Linked DNA regions of Sus scrofa. The protein of the gene in region 2 purifies or fractionates together with the protein of the main gene of each other region. This does not show direct contact. Links are inferred from orthologs where the notes say so. Each region holds a gene or a part of one and is shown on either strand. Other genes may lie near its edges.

The links.
Region 1: the proteins of TXNIP (region 2) and WWP1 purify together in Homo sapiens (affinity purification with mass spectrometry; 4 studies listed by BioGRID and IntAct, counting the BioPlex papers as one, with this or other methods). This does not show direct contact. The link is inferred for Sus scrofa from reciprocal best matches to the Homo sapiens genes TXNIP and WWP1.
Region 3: the proteins of TXNIP (region 2) and NLRP3 purify together in Homo sapiens (affinity purification with western blotting, with the first as the bait; 4 studies listed by BioGRID). This does not show direct contact. The link is inferred for Sus scrofa from reciprocal best matches to the Homo sapiens genes TXNIP and NLRP3.
Region 4: the proteins of TXNIP (region 2) and WWP2 purify together in Homo sapiens (affinity purification with mass spectrometry; 3 studies listed by BioGRID and IntAct, with this or other methods). This does not show direct contact. The link is inferred for Sus scrofa from reciprocal best matches to the Homo sapiens genes TXNIP and WWP2.

Annotation. Positions count from the first base shown.
Region 1 is NC_010446.5:50,415,073-50,418,879, reverse strand, and holds part of WWP1 (NEDD4-like E3 ubiquitin-protein ligase WWP1), read left to right. Parts: intron 1-177; coding exon 178-262; intron 263-394; coding exon 395-523; intron 524-2,008; coding exon 2,009-2,084; intron 2,085-2,186; coding exon 2,187-2,258; intron 2,259-3,807. UniProt on the Homo sapiens protein: E3 ubiquitin-protein ligase which accepts ubiquitin from an E2 ubiquitin-conjugating enzyme in the form of a thioester and then directly transfers the ubiquitin to targeted substrates.
Region 2 is NC_010446.5:99,347,281-99,351,515, forward strand, and holds the start of TXNIP (thioredoxin-interacting protein), read left to right. Parts: upstream 1-1,308; 5' UTR 1,309-1,570; coding exon 1,571-1,820; intron 1,821-2,333; coding exon 2,334-2,406; intron 2,407-2,528; coding exon 2,529-2,676; intron 2,677-2,883; coding exon 2,884-2,986; intron 2,987-3,117; coding exon 3,118-3,374; intron 3,375-3,475; coding exon 3,476-3,632; intron 3,633-3,744; coding exon 3,745-3,896; intron 3,897-4,028; coding exon 4,029-4,064; 3' UTR 4,065-4,235. UniProt on the Homo sapiens protein: May act as an oxidative stress mediator by inhibiting thioredoxin activity or by limiting its bioavailability.
Region 3 is NC_010444.4:56,894,287-56,897,336, reverse strand, and holds part of NLRP3 (NACHT, LRR and PYD domains-containing protein 3), read left to right. Parts: intron 1-45; coding exon 46-216; intron 217-3,050. UniProt on the Homo sapiens protein: Sensor component of the NLRP3 inflammasome, which mediates inflammasome activation in response to defects in membrane integrity, leading to secretion of inflammatory cytokines IL1B and IL18 and pyroptosis.
Region 4 is NC_010448.4:17,225,180-17,229,639, reverse strand, and holds the start of WWP2 (NEDD4-like E3 ubiquitin-protein ligase WWP2), read left to right. Parts: upstream 1-1,657; 5' UTR 1,658-1,801; intron 1,802-1,948; exon of another isoform or gene 1,949-2,292; intron 2,293-4,460. UniProt on the Homo sapiens protein: E3 ubiquitin-protein ligase which accepts ubiquitin from an E2 ubiquitin-conjugating enzyme in the form of a thioester and then directly transfers the ubiquitin to targeted substrates.

The DNA.
Region 1 (3,807 bases), about 49 Mb from region 2:
GGACCTTAACCCACTGAGCAAGGCCAGGGATCGAACCCACAACTTCATGGTTCCAAGTCGGATTCGTTAACCACTGCGCCACAATGGGAACTCCAAGCAAATATGGTTTTGGTAAAAGTATCTGAGATGTATATATAGCAAAAAGTTATTAAATGCTATGCTCACTCTGTTTTTTAGAAAAAAGAGTGGATTCAACAGACAGAGTTTACTTTGTGAATCATAACACAAAAACAACCCAGTGGGAGGATCCCAGAACCCAAGGGTACGTATGTACTACAGCCTTTCTTAGGTTATCTTACACATGTCTGAAGATAGAATTGCATTAAAAACCTTGATTCAGATGTTTTTAGCACCTGTAAAATGTTCACCTTATGATTATTGCATTATCTTTTAGCTTACAGAATGAAGAACCCCTGCCAGAAGGCTGGGAAATTAGGTATACCCGGGAAGGGGTTAGGTACTTTGTTGACCATAATACAAGAACAACAACATTCAAAGATCCTCGCAATGGCAAGTCATCTGTGTAAGTGAAGCTCTTATGTGCTGTGTAATGAGGACATAGGTTTCACTTCTAATTTAGCCTCAAGTTTAGCAATAAATTTTATTTTGTGTATCAAGAAAATTTACACAAGTAATACTCTACTATGCCTGTCTTTGCTCTACCTTCTTATAGAATGATTTTGCGGCACATAATTCCTTAGTAAGAACGATAGTAAATATTTACCTAGTGATTACTGTGTGCCAAGGATTCTTCTAAACATTTAGTGTAAATTAGCTCATTTTATCTTCCAACAATTCCTTGAGGTAGATACTGTTATTTTCCAAGTTCAGAAACTGAGGCTTAGGGAGCACAGCTAACTTATGCAAAATTATAGGCAAGTAATGGAAGTGGTTTCAGACCAAAGCAGTCTGTCCGAAGAGTCTGTGCTCTTAACAGGTGCATCATGCTGTTGCAACATCACAGAATGAGATGTTCAAGAAAATTTAATTTTCCAGGTAAAAATAGCTCAATTAAGCATTTGAAAGATCTCTCCTTAACTCCCTTATTACTCTTAGTGTAATGTCCTTGTATCAGTAAGTATGTAGAAATAGCCATAAAAACTTTTTGCAATTCCTACCGTTGCATCTGTCCACCTATCAGTATCTCTCTTCCCTCTTCATCCTGAAGATGAACTATCATCGTTCTTATCAAAGTCCAGTCCTCCCTGTGCTGGTGCACTAGCTCTTCCCCCTCTTTTCCAGTTCACTGTTCCAACAGTGATCGTCTTTATATTCTCCATCTTTCTCTGCTGAATTATTCTCAGCAGCTGTTAATTTCCTTAAATTAAAAGCAAACAGGGAGTTCCCTTCATGCTCAGTGGTTAACGAACCCAACTAGGATCCATGAGGATGGAGGTTCGATCCCTGGCCTTACTCAGTGGGTTAAGGATCTGGCGTTGCTGTGAGCTGTGGTGTAAATCACAGACTTGGCTTGGATCCTGAGTTGCTGTGACAGTGGTGTAGGCCAGCAGCTGCAGCTACGATTCAACCCCTAACCTGGGAACCTCCATATGCTGCATGCATGGCCTAAAAAGCAAAAAAAAAAAAAAAAAAAAAAAAAAGACAGACAAGCAAAACACCATAATTCTTCACCTTATGAATTCATTCAGTGAAAATTCATTTTTATTGCTACACTTTACAAGAAAACTACCTGAAAGAGCCTCTGCCCACCTGGGATTTGAAGTTTTCTTTGAAATAGTCAGTAGTTGACTTTAGTATTTTATTTAACTCACTTTTTTTTTTACAAAAGATCTATCCATACACATGCCCTCCCTCTTCATTTTTATATGTTGTGTGTCCTCATTACTTGAATCTCTGTTGGCCCACTAAATATATCTTTACTTCTCTCCCAGCAAGTAACTTTCCTGTACTCATTTTTTGGACCCTGGTACACTCCAGTCACATACTGAATATTAAATATCCAGCTTTATTATGAATTATTATATAGTTTGTTTTTGTTTTTCTTTAGAACTAAAGGTGGCCCACAGATTGCTTATGAACGCAGCTTTAGGTGGAAACTTGCTCACTTCCGTTATTTGTGCCAGGTACTACGGTGGTAAATAAATCTTATGTTCATAATCATTTAGTTTTATCTTTACACAGTACATGCACTGTAACTTACATTACAATGTTATTTTTCTTTGTAGTCTAATGCACTACCCAGTCATGTAAAGATCAATGTGTCCCGGCAGACATTGTTCGAAGATTCCTTCCAACAGGTAAGAACGATTTTATCAGAATAAAATAGTACAGTTAGCCTCTGTATCTGCAGCTACCACATCCGTGGATTCAGCCAACTGTGGATAGAAACTATTCTGGGGTGGGGACAGACGGGACTCCAGAAAGTTTCTAAAGGCTAAATTTGAATTTGCTGCAGCCAGCAAATTCAGGCATACCTCATTTTCTTGCACTTTGCTTTTATGTCGCTTTTGCAGATAGTGTTTTTTACAGATTGAAAGTTGTGGCAACCTTGTATTGAGCAAGTCTCTTGGCACCGTTTTTCCAGCAGGATGTGCTCACTTGGTGTCCCTGTGTCACATTTTTGTGATTCTTGAATATTTCAGACTTCATTATTAAATTTATATATTGATCTGTGATCAGTAATCTTTGATGTATACTATTGCAAAAAGATTACAACTTTCTCAGATGATGGTTAGCATTTTTTTAAATAATAAAATATCTTTTAATAAAGGTATGTATGTCTTTTTAGACATAATGCTAAACTTAATAGACTACATAGACTTATTAAGACTGTCTAGACTATTAAGTCGAGACTTAATAGACTACAGTATGATATAAATATAACTTCTACTCACACTGGGAAACCACAAAATTCATGTAATTTGATTTATTGTGGTATTCTCTTTATTGTAGTGGTCTGGAACCAAACCTGTAATATCCCCAAGGTATCCCTATGTTTATGTAGTATTTATATTGCATTACTTATTATACATAATTGAGAAATAATTTAAAGTATATGGGAAGATAGGAGTTCCTGTCGTGATTCAGTGGTGGTTGCGGGTTCAATCCCTGGCCTTGCTCAGTGGATTAAGGATCCAGCGTTGCTGTGAGCTGTGGTGTAGGTCGCAGACGCAGCTCAGATCCCATGTTGCTGTGGCTCCGGTGTAGGCCGGTGGCTACAGCTCCAATTAGACCCCTAGCCTGGGAACCTCCATATGCCGCGGGAGCAGCCCTAGAAAAGGCAAAAAGACAAAAAAAAAAAAAAAAAAAAAAAGCGTATGGGAAGATGTACATAGCTTATATTACTTGACTGTCTTTGGATTTTAGTATCTGTGGGGGTGTCCTGGAACCAACCTACCTTGGATATTGAGGGAAGATGTACAACTTGTCTCATTGTATTCTGTATATCCAAAGGGAGTTTTAGAATTTAGAAATTTGAAACCACTCAGAACACAGCTCTATCAATGACTATCATTTACTGTGTGTTCATTATAGTAATAGTCATAATAAATCCTATCATGTGTTGAGTGACTGCCATATGCTCGGCACTGGCATCTTATTTTCTTTTATTTATCTATATAGTCTTTTTATGGTCGCACCCACGGCGTATAATGTTCCCAGGCTAGGGGTAGAATTGGAGCTACAGCTCCCGACCTATACCACAGCCATAGCAATGTGGGATCCGAGCTGTGTCTGTGACCTACACCAAAGCTCACAGCAACACCGGATCCTTAACCTACTGAGCAAGGTCAGGGATCTAACCCGCTTCCTCATGGATGCTGATCGGGTTTGTTACCCTGAGCCCCG
Region 2 (4,235 bases):
AACACAGGATGAGGAGTCAGGTTCTCTTCCAGCTTTAGCATATAGCGTGCCAGTGAACCTTCGGTCTTCTCTTTGCTTTCTTAGCAATTTCTGAACAACTTAGAAAAAAAAAAAAACTTTTCAAAGATAGGAAATGCTTCCTTCAAACAGGACACTTTGGTTACAGACCAGAGAACTTTACTGCTTTTAATTAACTTGAAGGCTGTGAGGAGGGTGGGCAGCAGATTTAGGGATGTACCTTTGATTTAGTAAATTGGAGAGGGAACGAAGGCAAGAAAGAGTTAAAGTTATTCAGAAAAAAAGCGCAGAATGAAGCATCCTTTTTTTTCCCCCTTTCCTGGAGAAGTAGGGAGGGAGAGGTAACCTGAGCCTAGAGAACACAATTTACTAAAGAAGTGATGAGGTAACTGGGAGAACAGAAACAAAGTGTCCCTCAACTTTGCAGGTTAGGGACTGAAGAGATGAGGGCATTAGCAACAGGATGTGGCCGCGCCCTTACTGTTTCCGGTCCAGAGAACAGAGAGAACTGAGTTGGGGGCGCAGGGGCTGAGGAACAGCCCAGCACCAAGCCCTGAGCCCTGGGGGCTGGAAAGGGAGGAAAAAGGCTGGTAGGTCCCACACGCGCGCTTCCCTGTGTGCGCGGAGAAGAGGGTAAAAATTTGTGACAAATTCTCATTTCCTTCTCACATCAGCTTATTTTTTTTGGGGGGGGGGTGTTTTTAATAGAGATGCGGGGCAAGAAGACAAAGGGGCTCGTCCTGAATAATAACAGCAGCACTCCTTGCCCTCCGCCCCAATCCTAAAGTATTCTTGGCGCTCGGGGATTGTTTTTCACACGACTTGCGATTTGTGAGCCGGGAATAAACGGTCGCCTCTAAATTAACTGCACTGGCAATGGCTAGGCACGAAATTCCCTCATAAGCACATTTTCCTTTTACCTCGAAATGTCGCTCCAGCCCAGAAGCATCCTCATTCGCCCTCCCAAGGCCACTGGCCTCGGATAAATTTTAGGGTCTGCGAATGCTTCGTTCCTTTGGGCTCCCGGGAAGCCGCCCACGGCCCCTGCGCCCCCTCCTCCCAGGGCCGCAGCAGTGCACAACAACCATTTTCCCCGCCAGGAGCACACTGTGTCCACGCGCCGCTGCGACTTCGCTGATTGGTCGGGCTCCTGGTAAACATGGAGCGGGCAGCCAATGGGCGGGCTGTGCACGAGGGCTGCACGAGCCTCCGGGCCAGCGCTCGCGTGGCTCTGCCTGCCCGGCTACTATATAGAGCAGTTTATAGCTCTCAGCACAAGCTATCCTTTCCACTCCTCTGGCAGATCGCTGTTAGCTTTCCCGCCGAGATCCGGAGCTCTCCTCCAGCTGTTGGAGGAAAGACAGGAAAGAGCTTATTTTTCTTTTGAAATACCTTGGCACAACCAGCAAGGGAACATCTTGTCGAACATTTAATAGAGAGTTGAAAAGTGAAATAATTTTAATTCATTGCAAAGGGCCCTTTGATTCGGGGTTTTGTTTTTCACTCCTGCCCCCTGCCCCGTTTCTAACTCTCAAGTCAACCGAGCCCAAACATGGTGATGTTCAAGAAGATCAAGTCTTTTGAGGTGGTCTTTAACGACCCCGAAAAGGTGTACGGCTGTGGGGAGAAGGTGGCTGGCCGGGTGATAGTGGAGGTGTGTGAAGTCACTCGAATCAAAGCTGTCAGGATCCTGGCTTGTGGAGTGGCCAAAGTCCTGTGGATGCAGGGATCCCAGCAGTGCAAACAGACCTTGGACTACCTGCGCTATGAAGACACTCTTCTCCTGGACGACCACCCAACAGGTAAGTGACCCAGCTGTTGACTGGAGGGCGAAAGCTGATTTGAGAAGAGAGTTGATACGAATAAATAGAGCCTACACTAAATATTCTAAGTTGCTCAGGTGGTGTGGTTTGAATTTTGTGTCAATTCCTTATCTTTTTGTTTCTTTTTAATTTACAATCCCTGCCCACCCAAAAGGGTGATTTGTACAATTTCTTGTGGTGCTGTGTTCTGGAGATGTTGAAGGATGTTGCCTTACCTATTGAAACATTTCTGTGCATAAGTTGCTTATTCTTTGCTTGCTTCTTGTTTGAGATGATTGTAGCTTAACTGTCCTGGTTGAGCCTGTCAACACTACAGGGCTTTGCAACTTTTTGCCCAACAAAATACATCAGAATCTGTCATTTAGGAACAAAAGGGATGAGAATACGAGTTCTGCAATACTCTTGCGTGATGCCTAAGAATTCCTTATCGGCACAGATGCATTTTAAGTGTAACAGGAAACCTAATGGTTACTTGCTTATCTCTCTTTTCAGGGGAGAATGAGATGGTGATCATGAGACCTGGAAACAAATATGAATACAAGTTTGGCTTTGAGCTTCCTCAGGGGTAGGTATCAGCTAAATGCATCTGTGGACTTATCTGTCTCTAAAAATCTTCCCCTCCTTTGATCACTCACTGTTCTTGGAGAGCATTTTTTTAAGTTAGTTGTTTCCTTTTTCTTTATAAAGGCCTCTGGGAACATCTTTCAAAGGAAAATATGGGTGTGTAGACTACTGGGTGAAGGCTTTTCTTGATCGCCCAAGCCAGCCAACTCAAGAGACAAAAAAACACTTCGAAGTGATGGATCTAGTGGATGTCAATACCCCTGATTTAATGGTAAAGTCATTCTAAGATTCTGTTCTTTTTGGGCTCAGGGGTGCTAAGTCAAATGTCTAGGGCATTAAAAGTGAAGCCCCTCGGGGAATCAAGTCCTAAATCATCAAGGTGGGAGGGAAGGCTACCTACTATAAATAAGTACTGGAAAGGAACGGAAAGCAGGGAAAGGATCTCTAGAAATTCTCAAAACACCTCCATTCTACATAGGCACCTGTGTCTGCTAAAAAGGAGAAGAAAGTTTCCTGCATGTTCATTCCTGATGGCCGGGTGTCTGTCTCTGCTCGAATCGACAGAAAAGGGTTCTGTGAAGGTAAAAATCTGTGCTTAAAATGGGAGACTGCTAAAACAGAAACTATGGGTTTGGGATGAGGGCTGTAGAAAGGGACAAAAGAAAAGTCGTTGATTGTACTGAGCATCAGTTTTCATCTTTCCCATTGCTAGGTGATGAGATTAACATCCATGCTGATTTTGAGAATACATGTTCCCGCATTGTGGTGCCCAAAGCTGCCATTGTAGCCCGCCACACTTACCTTGCCAATGGCCAAACCAAAGTACTGACGCAGAAGTTGTCATCGGTCAGAGGCAATCACATTATCTCAGGAACCTGTGCATCATGGCGTGGCAAGAGCCTTCGGGTGCAGAAGATCAGGCCTTCTATCTTGGGCTGCAACATCCTTCGAGTTGAATACTTCTTACTGGTGAGTTTGTAGGGTTGGAGAGAGAAATTGTTCATCTGTCAAAACAATAGTGATGTTTTCTCCAGATCTCTAGCCTAACAAACTCCCGTGTTCCTTTCTAGATCTACGTTAGTGTCCCTGGCTCCAAGAAGGTCATTCTTGACCTGCCCCTGGTAATTGGCAGCAGGTCAGGCCTCAGCAGCCGGACGTCCAGCATGGCCAGCCGAACCAGCTCCGAGATGAGTTGGGTAGATCTAAACATCCCTGATACCCCCGAAGGTGAGCCAGACCTAATGTCTTTTCTTCCCTTCTGGTCTGCTTGGGTTTGTAAAATTGTGATGGTCAGGCATTTCTTGGCCAGGCTTCTTATCCCCATACTTTGTCTCTGTAGCTCCTCCATGCTATATGGATATCATTCCTGAAGATCACCGATTGGAGAGCCCCACCACTCCTCTGCTAGATGACACAGATGGCTCTCAAGACAGCCCTATCTTTATGTATGCTCCTGAGTTTAAGTTCATGCCACCACCTACTTACAGTGAGGTAAGAATTGTCATTTTGCCACTACATTTGTCCTAAGCCTTCAGTGGAAAGTTGACTTGGAGGGATTACTAAACTGGGTTGTTCTCTTAGTTCTTACCCAAACTAAAATATCCTTTTCTTTCTTCCTCCCAGGTGGATCCCTGCATCCTCAACAACAACGTGCAGTGAACATGTGGAAGGAAAGAAGCAGCTATACCTACTTCTTTCTTTTCACCTCTCTTCCTGGACTGACTTTTTAGGAGACTCAACAGTCTCTGCAGTGGGGTACAGATCCACCCCAGCCTCTGACTCTCCGGTGTAGGAGGTGATCATCAGGCAATCTCTTGGGCCTTAAAGGGT
Region 3 (3,050 bases), on a different chromosome or scaffold from region 2:
CGTAATTAAGAAAACATTTTCTTTAAATCGTCTTATTTCTTGCAGATTAGAGAACTGCAGCCTCACATCACACTGCTGCTGGGATCTTTCCACACTTCTGACTTCTAACCAGAGCCTGCGAAAGCTGAGCCTAGGCAACAATGACCTGGGTGATCTGGGGGTCATGCTACTCTGTGAAGTGTTGAAACAGCAGGGGTGCCTCCTGAAAAGCCTTAAGTAAGCATGCACTGCAGAGATTTGTATGACAGGACTCATAGTTGTAAGGAAAATTTGGCCAGTTTCCCAAATCCAGGATGGCTTCATTTGCACTTTGGGTGAGGTTGTGCCTGGAACAGCTGCAGTTTTTTTCTTCTTTTTTTTTGGCTGCATCCACGGCATATGGAAGTTTCCAGTCCAGGGGTTGAATCTGAGCTGAAGCTGCAACCTATGACATAACTATAGCAATGCTAGCTCCTTAACCCATTGTGCCACCATGGAAACTCCTAATTTTTTTTAATACATGGGATATGTGAGTCATGAAATACATAGTCAAATTCATTCAGACATTTATAATAATCATGGTTTAGTGGGTGTGAAAAGTGTTTCCATTCCATTCCTGAAAGAAACACAAGTCCCAGTGAAAACAAGACAAATAGAGTTATATTCCTATGCAAGGTATTGTACTTTATAGAATTCGACAAGTCATCCTAATTGCAAAGATCTTTGCATAGTTGGGGTCTGTTGGTCTTGGTTCTGAGAACTAGTAAATGGAAAATTCTCCAGAAACATCAAAATTAGAAATTCTATAAAATTTGGCCTATCTACAATGTGTTGGGACCATTCTCTCCCTTCCATCATCACTGGTACCACTGGGGTACTCATTACCTCTCTAGTAAGAGCTAGTCTGTCATCCCTGATGATCCCATTCTCCACTTTATATATTTCCTTCACTTGGCTTTAGGGACAACACACTCTCCTCTGCATTTTCTCCTACTACATTAACTATTTCTGCATAGTATCCTCTGGCTTCTCTTCATCTTTTTGACTTCTACATGCTGAATCTCCAGGACTCAATCAGTGGGTTAATTTTTCTTCTCCACACTTTCTTTTGTTTATATCATCTAGTCTTCTTGTTTTATCATATATGTGCTATGCTACCTCCAATTAATATCTTCACAAATTCCATGTCCAAATGCTTATCTCAGAGTTCCCATTGTGGCTCAGTGGGTTAAGAACCAGACATAGTGTCCATGAGCATGTGTGTTAAATCCCTGGTCTTGCTCAGTGGTGTTGTCACAAACTTCAACCTAGGTTTCAGGTGTGACTTGGATCCAGTGTTGTCACGGCTGTGGTGTAGGCCTGAAGCTGCAGCTCTGATTCTACCCCCAGCCCAGGAACTTCCATATGCCACAGGTGTGGCCATTAAAAAAAATGCTCGTCTCATCTTTCTACTTGGATGTCTAAGAAGCCTCCCAAATTTCAGATATCCATTTCCAAACATATGCTATTCCCTTCTGCCTAAAACCTGCTTCTTCTCCATCTCAGTCAATGGTAACCCAGTCTGAATTATTCAGTTCAAAAAAAAAAAACCTGCTGTCAGAGTTCCCTGTGTCTAAGCAGATTAAGGATATGGTGTCACTCCTGCAGCTCGGGCCATTGCTGTAGTGCTGGATGCCTGGTCAAAAAGAAAAAAGATCCTGGAGTTTTCTTTGACATTTTTTTCCTTAGGCACATATTCAATCCACTGGCACGTCCTATTAACTCTGCTTTCACAGTATACCCACTCATTGATGATTTTTTTTGGCCAGCTTCATGGTTCTTACCCTGGTTCAAGCCATTGTCATCTCTTGTTTTGATTATCCTGGTGGCATTCTTTAAGGCTACTCTGCATTTCTTGTTCTTACTATAGCAGATGGAGGGTAGAGCTAAAACATAAGTCAGATCATATCATTCCTACTAACATGTTCTTGTCACATTCAAAGTAAGAGCCACAAACTCATGACAATGTCCAAGGCCCCACATGATCTGGACCCTGCTGTTTCCACAAATTAATCTTCTCCTAGCCCTAGTTCCTTCTGCCTCACTCACACTGGTCTCCTTGCTGTTTTGAAAAAACATGGTCACCTCCAAAACTTTACACTTGCTGTTCCCTCTGCCTGGACATCCCCCTTGCTTTGATATCCACATGGTTTATTCCTGTGCATCTTTAAATTCTCTGCCTAGAAGTCTTCTCTGTGAGTCTGATTCTAACCATTCTACTGAAAATAGTGGGCCCAGCATGCTTTTCCTCTTCTCTACTAATTTTCCTCCTGAGTGTTGACAACCATCATACATTCTATATCATTTTCTCATTTATTTTTTATCTATGTACCACCTCAAGATTACAAATTATTTTTTCCCTTTCTTATGGCCGCACTTATGGCATATGGAAGTTCCCAGGCCAGGAATGAATCTGAGCTGCAGCTGCAACCTACGCTGCTGCTGTGGCAATGCTGGATCTCTTAATTCATTGTACCCAGTGAGGGATCGAAACCAGATACCCTCTACAGATACCCAAGCTTCTACATTCAGATTCTTTTTTTTTTGTCTTTGTAGGGCTTTACCTATGGGATATGAAATTTCAGCTAGGCGTTGAATCGGAGCTGTAGCTGCTGGCCTACGCCACAGCCACAGTAATGTGGGATCTGAACCACATCTGTGACCTACACCACAGCTCACGGCAACACCAGATCTTTAACCCTATGAGTGAGGCCAGGGATTGAATCTGTGTACTCATGGATGCTAGTCAGGTTCATTACCATTGAGCCACAATGGGAACTCCCTGCAGTACAGTGGGAACTCCAAGATTATAAATTCTATTTAGCCCAGAAATTTCTGTTCTTGCCCATGACCTCAAGGCTGAGAACCCACTGGCATTCAGGTTTGAATAAGTAGTTCAAATTAGCATTGTATCCTTATACTAACAGAGTGGAGCATATTCATTGCAGGAAAAGCCATTCTCAGAGCTAAGAGAAATAAGGAGCAAAGGGAATTATTGGTCAGGATGAAGCTGGGGATATTGTTATATGTGG
Region 4 (4,460 bases), on a different chromosome or scaffold from region 2:
ACATTTCATTTTACTTTTTAACTTTTGGGGGGGGGGCGCTTTTACAATGACACATTTCATATTTTTTTATGTGTCTTTTCAAAATCTCCTATGCTGGAGTTCCCCTGTGGCACAGTGGTTTAAGATTTGGCATTGTCACTACAGCCACTCACGTCATTGCTGTGGTGTGGGTCATATCCCTGGCCTGGGAATTTTCACATGCCGCAGGCACGGCTGAAAAAAAATAGGGTGATTACGAAAGGCTTCACTGAGAGGGGTGGTTGAGTAAATATCTGAAAGAGATGAGTGAGCCAACTGACTACCTGGGGAAAGAGCTTTCCAGAAAGAGGGAAAAGCAAGTCCAAAGGCCCTCAGGCCAGAGTGGCTGAAGCAGGGTACTGAGTGGAAGAGTAGTTGGAGATGAGGTGAGAGAAATAAAGAAGTTTGAATAGGTTTATAGATGGGATTCATATAGGAATTACGGTATTCAGAAAGGCTGTAGCTCCTTGAAAGGCCATCTCCTGGATGGATCTGGAGTGGAAATAGGAAAAGCAGAGACTAAGTGCTCAACCAATTTAATTTGTATGCATAATAGGATCACTCTGAACGGGAAGACCCAAAAATAACAGAATAATCAGTGCACAGTGCTTAAAGCTAATTAAGTGATTAGTCTTCATTTTAGTTTGTGGTGATGAAGAGTGAAAAATTGAGCCTTCCTTCAACTTGTCAAAACTGAATTCCCTACCATCAGTAAAGTATATTGATTAATTTTTTTTTCTAATTCATAAAGTGCTATTGACTCTTTATATTAAGGAAATAGGGGTTCGATTGGTGTGGTGGGCATTTTACCAACCCCAGCAAGGGTTCTGGAGTCTTTTTACTTTTGCTTTATGTCACAAGAACAGATGCTCCGGAGTTCCCATCGTGGCTCAGTGGTTAATGAATCCGACTAGGAACCAGGAGGTTGTGGGTTCGATCCCTGGCCTTGCTCAGTCGGCTGAGGATCTGGCATTGAGGATCTGGCGTTGCCCTGAGCTGTGGTGTAGGTTGCAGACGCGGCTCGGATCCCGCGTTGCTGTGGCTCTGGCGTAGGCCGGCGGCTACAGCTCCGATTAGACCCCTAGCCTGGGAACCTCCATATGCCGTGGAAGCGGGCCAAGAAATGGCAAAAAGACAAAACAAAACAAAACAGATGCTCCACAAAAGTTACTTTTGTGTGTTTCTAGAATCTAGAACCCTGCCTGGCACATAGTAGGCTTAAGGTTGTCAGGTATAGCAAATTAAAACCCAATTTGCCCAATTAAATATGAGCATCAACCACAAATAGTTTTTTAGTATAAACATGTACCAGGCAGTATTTGGGGCACACCTACATATTACATATTTTTTATCTTAAGTTCATATTTAACTGGGTGCCCTGTATTTTATCTGGTGACCCTAGGATATTTTAAGTCAGTAAATTAACCGCTGACTTAATTGACTGAAAGCCTCCTTTCACCTGTGAAATGGGGCTGACAGAGACGCCCCTGGGCTCGATGGGAGGAGTAAATGAAGCTCCTGGCACTCACCGAGCCCTCAATTTACTTGATTGCTCGGGTACCATCTGACGAGGGGAAAACCCTCCCATTTTTAAACATACAAAGGATAAGAAGGCTTTCTGGCTAAAGGTTCCCAGGCCTGGCCTAGGTTGCCCACACCTGCAGGTACGGCCAGCCTCTTCCGGGTCAGGTGACCACGCGTGGTCACGTGACCTGGCCCGAGTGCGGGCGGTCGAAGGCGGAAGTGGGAGAGGAGTTGGGCTCCGCTTCTGTGGTCCCGTCAGGTAGCGAGCGCCGGCGCGGGGCAGCGCGGCGGGCAGGCTGGCGGGGGCGCGGGGCTGGCCTGGGGCAGCGGGCAGCGGGCAGCGCGGGGTGGGCCAGGGGCGGCGCGGCCCGGGCGCCGGGGGGCGGTGGCTTCCTGTGGGAGGGGCCTGGCGCGGCGGTTCCGGCCTCCGAGGAGGGGTGTCCCGGCTCCCGCCCGAGCGGGGTGGGCGCGCTGCGGGCGGTGCGGGGGCAACTCCGAGGTGGGCGCCAAGGCACGCATAAGTGCGGTGGCCAGCAAGTCCTCCTGGAAGGGACAAGCATCTTAGGTGCCAGGGATGAAGAGGAGTGACCTTTGTGGCGGGATCGGGACAGGAGGAAGGGGCAACTTGGGACTGAGCTAGAATGGGTCGCCTGAGAATTGGCGAACGACGTGGAAGGAAAAATCAGGAGGAAGATGCTGCCTGAACCGCGCTTGAGCGCCTCTTCCTTCCTTCCTCTTTGGCAATGATTGGTACCCGAGACTTTGATTTTGGTCCCATTCAGTTTCTAAACTTCAGGAGGGATCAGAGAATCTTGATCATTTTGCTTTCGTCACGCCCACTTAGTCCTGCTTGGGTAGGGTTTCTACTTCTTGAGAACCTAGCCTTTCAGATCATGTTTCTTTGAAATTTCCACAGATCAGATCAACTTCTGGGCTTAAGAAAAGAGCGTGGGCACTTTGCTCTGGCTGTAAAATGGCTTTTAGCTTAAACTGTTGAGCACGGTCCAATCCCAGCATTACCTCACCTAACAGCGACTGCAGTAACCTTGGCCGGTATCTACCTACCCTGCTTTATGACTTTTTCTTTCTTGAGTTTAAATTATTCAGTTTCCTTTGCCATGTGACTGCTTATCTTGACAAACTGTAACTAGCTAGCATGACTGGAAGGTCTGTGTTGTGTTCCATAGAACTGTGACCTGGATCATGATTTTGAGATTAAATACCTGTGTTAAGGCTGTTCACCCGCTTTTTCTTGTGTTTACTAACATTTGCAAAAGTGGAATGCATTTCATGGATGTGATGTAATAGAAGTGAATGTTCAAACTGGACAGTCCCAGGAGCTGGAGTTGTTTTGGGTTACAAGTAGGAAAAAAAAAAAAAGTACCTTGCTAATGTGTTTTGAGTTCAAGTTTTTAGAATGTTTGACAAACATTTAAAAATTGATTTCTGTGACAGCCCTGGGAGTTAGATTAGGAAGATGTTTATTCTCATTTCACAGTGAACAAACAGATCTCAGAAGACTGGATTTTGTTGACAATTTTTTTGTGTTTTCTTGTCTGCTGTTCTCTTTCTTTCTGATAGACTGCAAATTCCTCAAAGGGCGGGGTTTATATCTTATTTGGCTTATTTGGCAACTAGCCTGGAGCCAGGTGTGCTATGGGCACTTGGTAAGTTTTTGGTGAATAAATGAATTTCTAAAGGTCACAGACCTGTAAGTGGAGAAGAGATTTGAATCTGAGTCCTGCCTCTTCTTCTTGGTAAATGAGCTTGCCATTTTGTTGTTTGGTCTATAAGAAAATGATAGGTGTGGGGTTGGGTTGGCTTGGGTTGGCTTCTCAATCTCTTATTTAGTGACTACTTTCCCATAGTAAAAAAAGCTTATGGGAGTTCCCTGGTGGCTCAGCAGATTAAGGATCTGGCATTGTTACTGCTATGGCTGGAGTCACTGCTGTGACATGGGTTTGATCCCTGGCCCTCAAACTTCCACATCCACCTCCCCCCCCAAAAAAAGAAAAAAAGAGCTTATTCAGTCTTCATTATGATCCTCTGAAGGTTGAAATTGTCCCTATTCTGCAGTTGAAGAAACTGAGGCTTAGTGAAGTCCTTGTTTGAGAATCTAGAAGTCGTGAATGACTGAGCAGGGACTCATGCCCAGGCCTTTTATCCTTGGACCTATTCTTTTCCATTTTTAGATTCAATGTAAAGTTTCAAAAAAATGTTTTTTTCAAGTGTGCAAAGGATGACATTTTAAGGGGAAAATAGTATAGGTTATAGCAATAATTGTGAATATGGAGTGTAACTAAAGTTTAGAAAATCCTATGCTATACCATAGCTGCCTCTTTATTTTTTCATTTGGTGGCTATTTATAAGCACGAACTCTTTGCCAGGCATTGTTCTAGGGTTTTCATTGTTCAGATCCGTAGTCACTAGACACATGGGGCTGCCGAGTACAGGAGATAGGCTATGACTATACAATACATGCCAGATTTTGGAAGACTTAGTACAGAAAGATAAAGGTAAAATTTCTCATTAATTTTTAAAAAGATTATACTAAATGACCTTATAAATGTAATGTACTTATATGCTATAAATGGTAGCATTAAAGTTTATTGTCCTAAGTACAATAGAATTGAAATTTCCTTTGTTTAGTTTTTATTTTTATTTATTTATTTATTTTTTTGTCTTTTTGCCATTTCTCGGGCCGCTCTCGCGGCATATGGAGGTTCCCAGGCTAGGGGTCCAATCGGAGCTGTAGCCACCGGCCTACACCAGAGCCACAGCAACGCAGGATCCGAGCCGCGTCTGCAGCCTACACCACAGCTCACGGCAACGCCGGATCATTAACCCACTGAGCAAGGGCAGGGACCGGATCATTAACCCACTGAGCAAGGGCATGGTTCCTAGTCGGATTCGTTAAC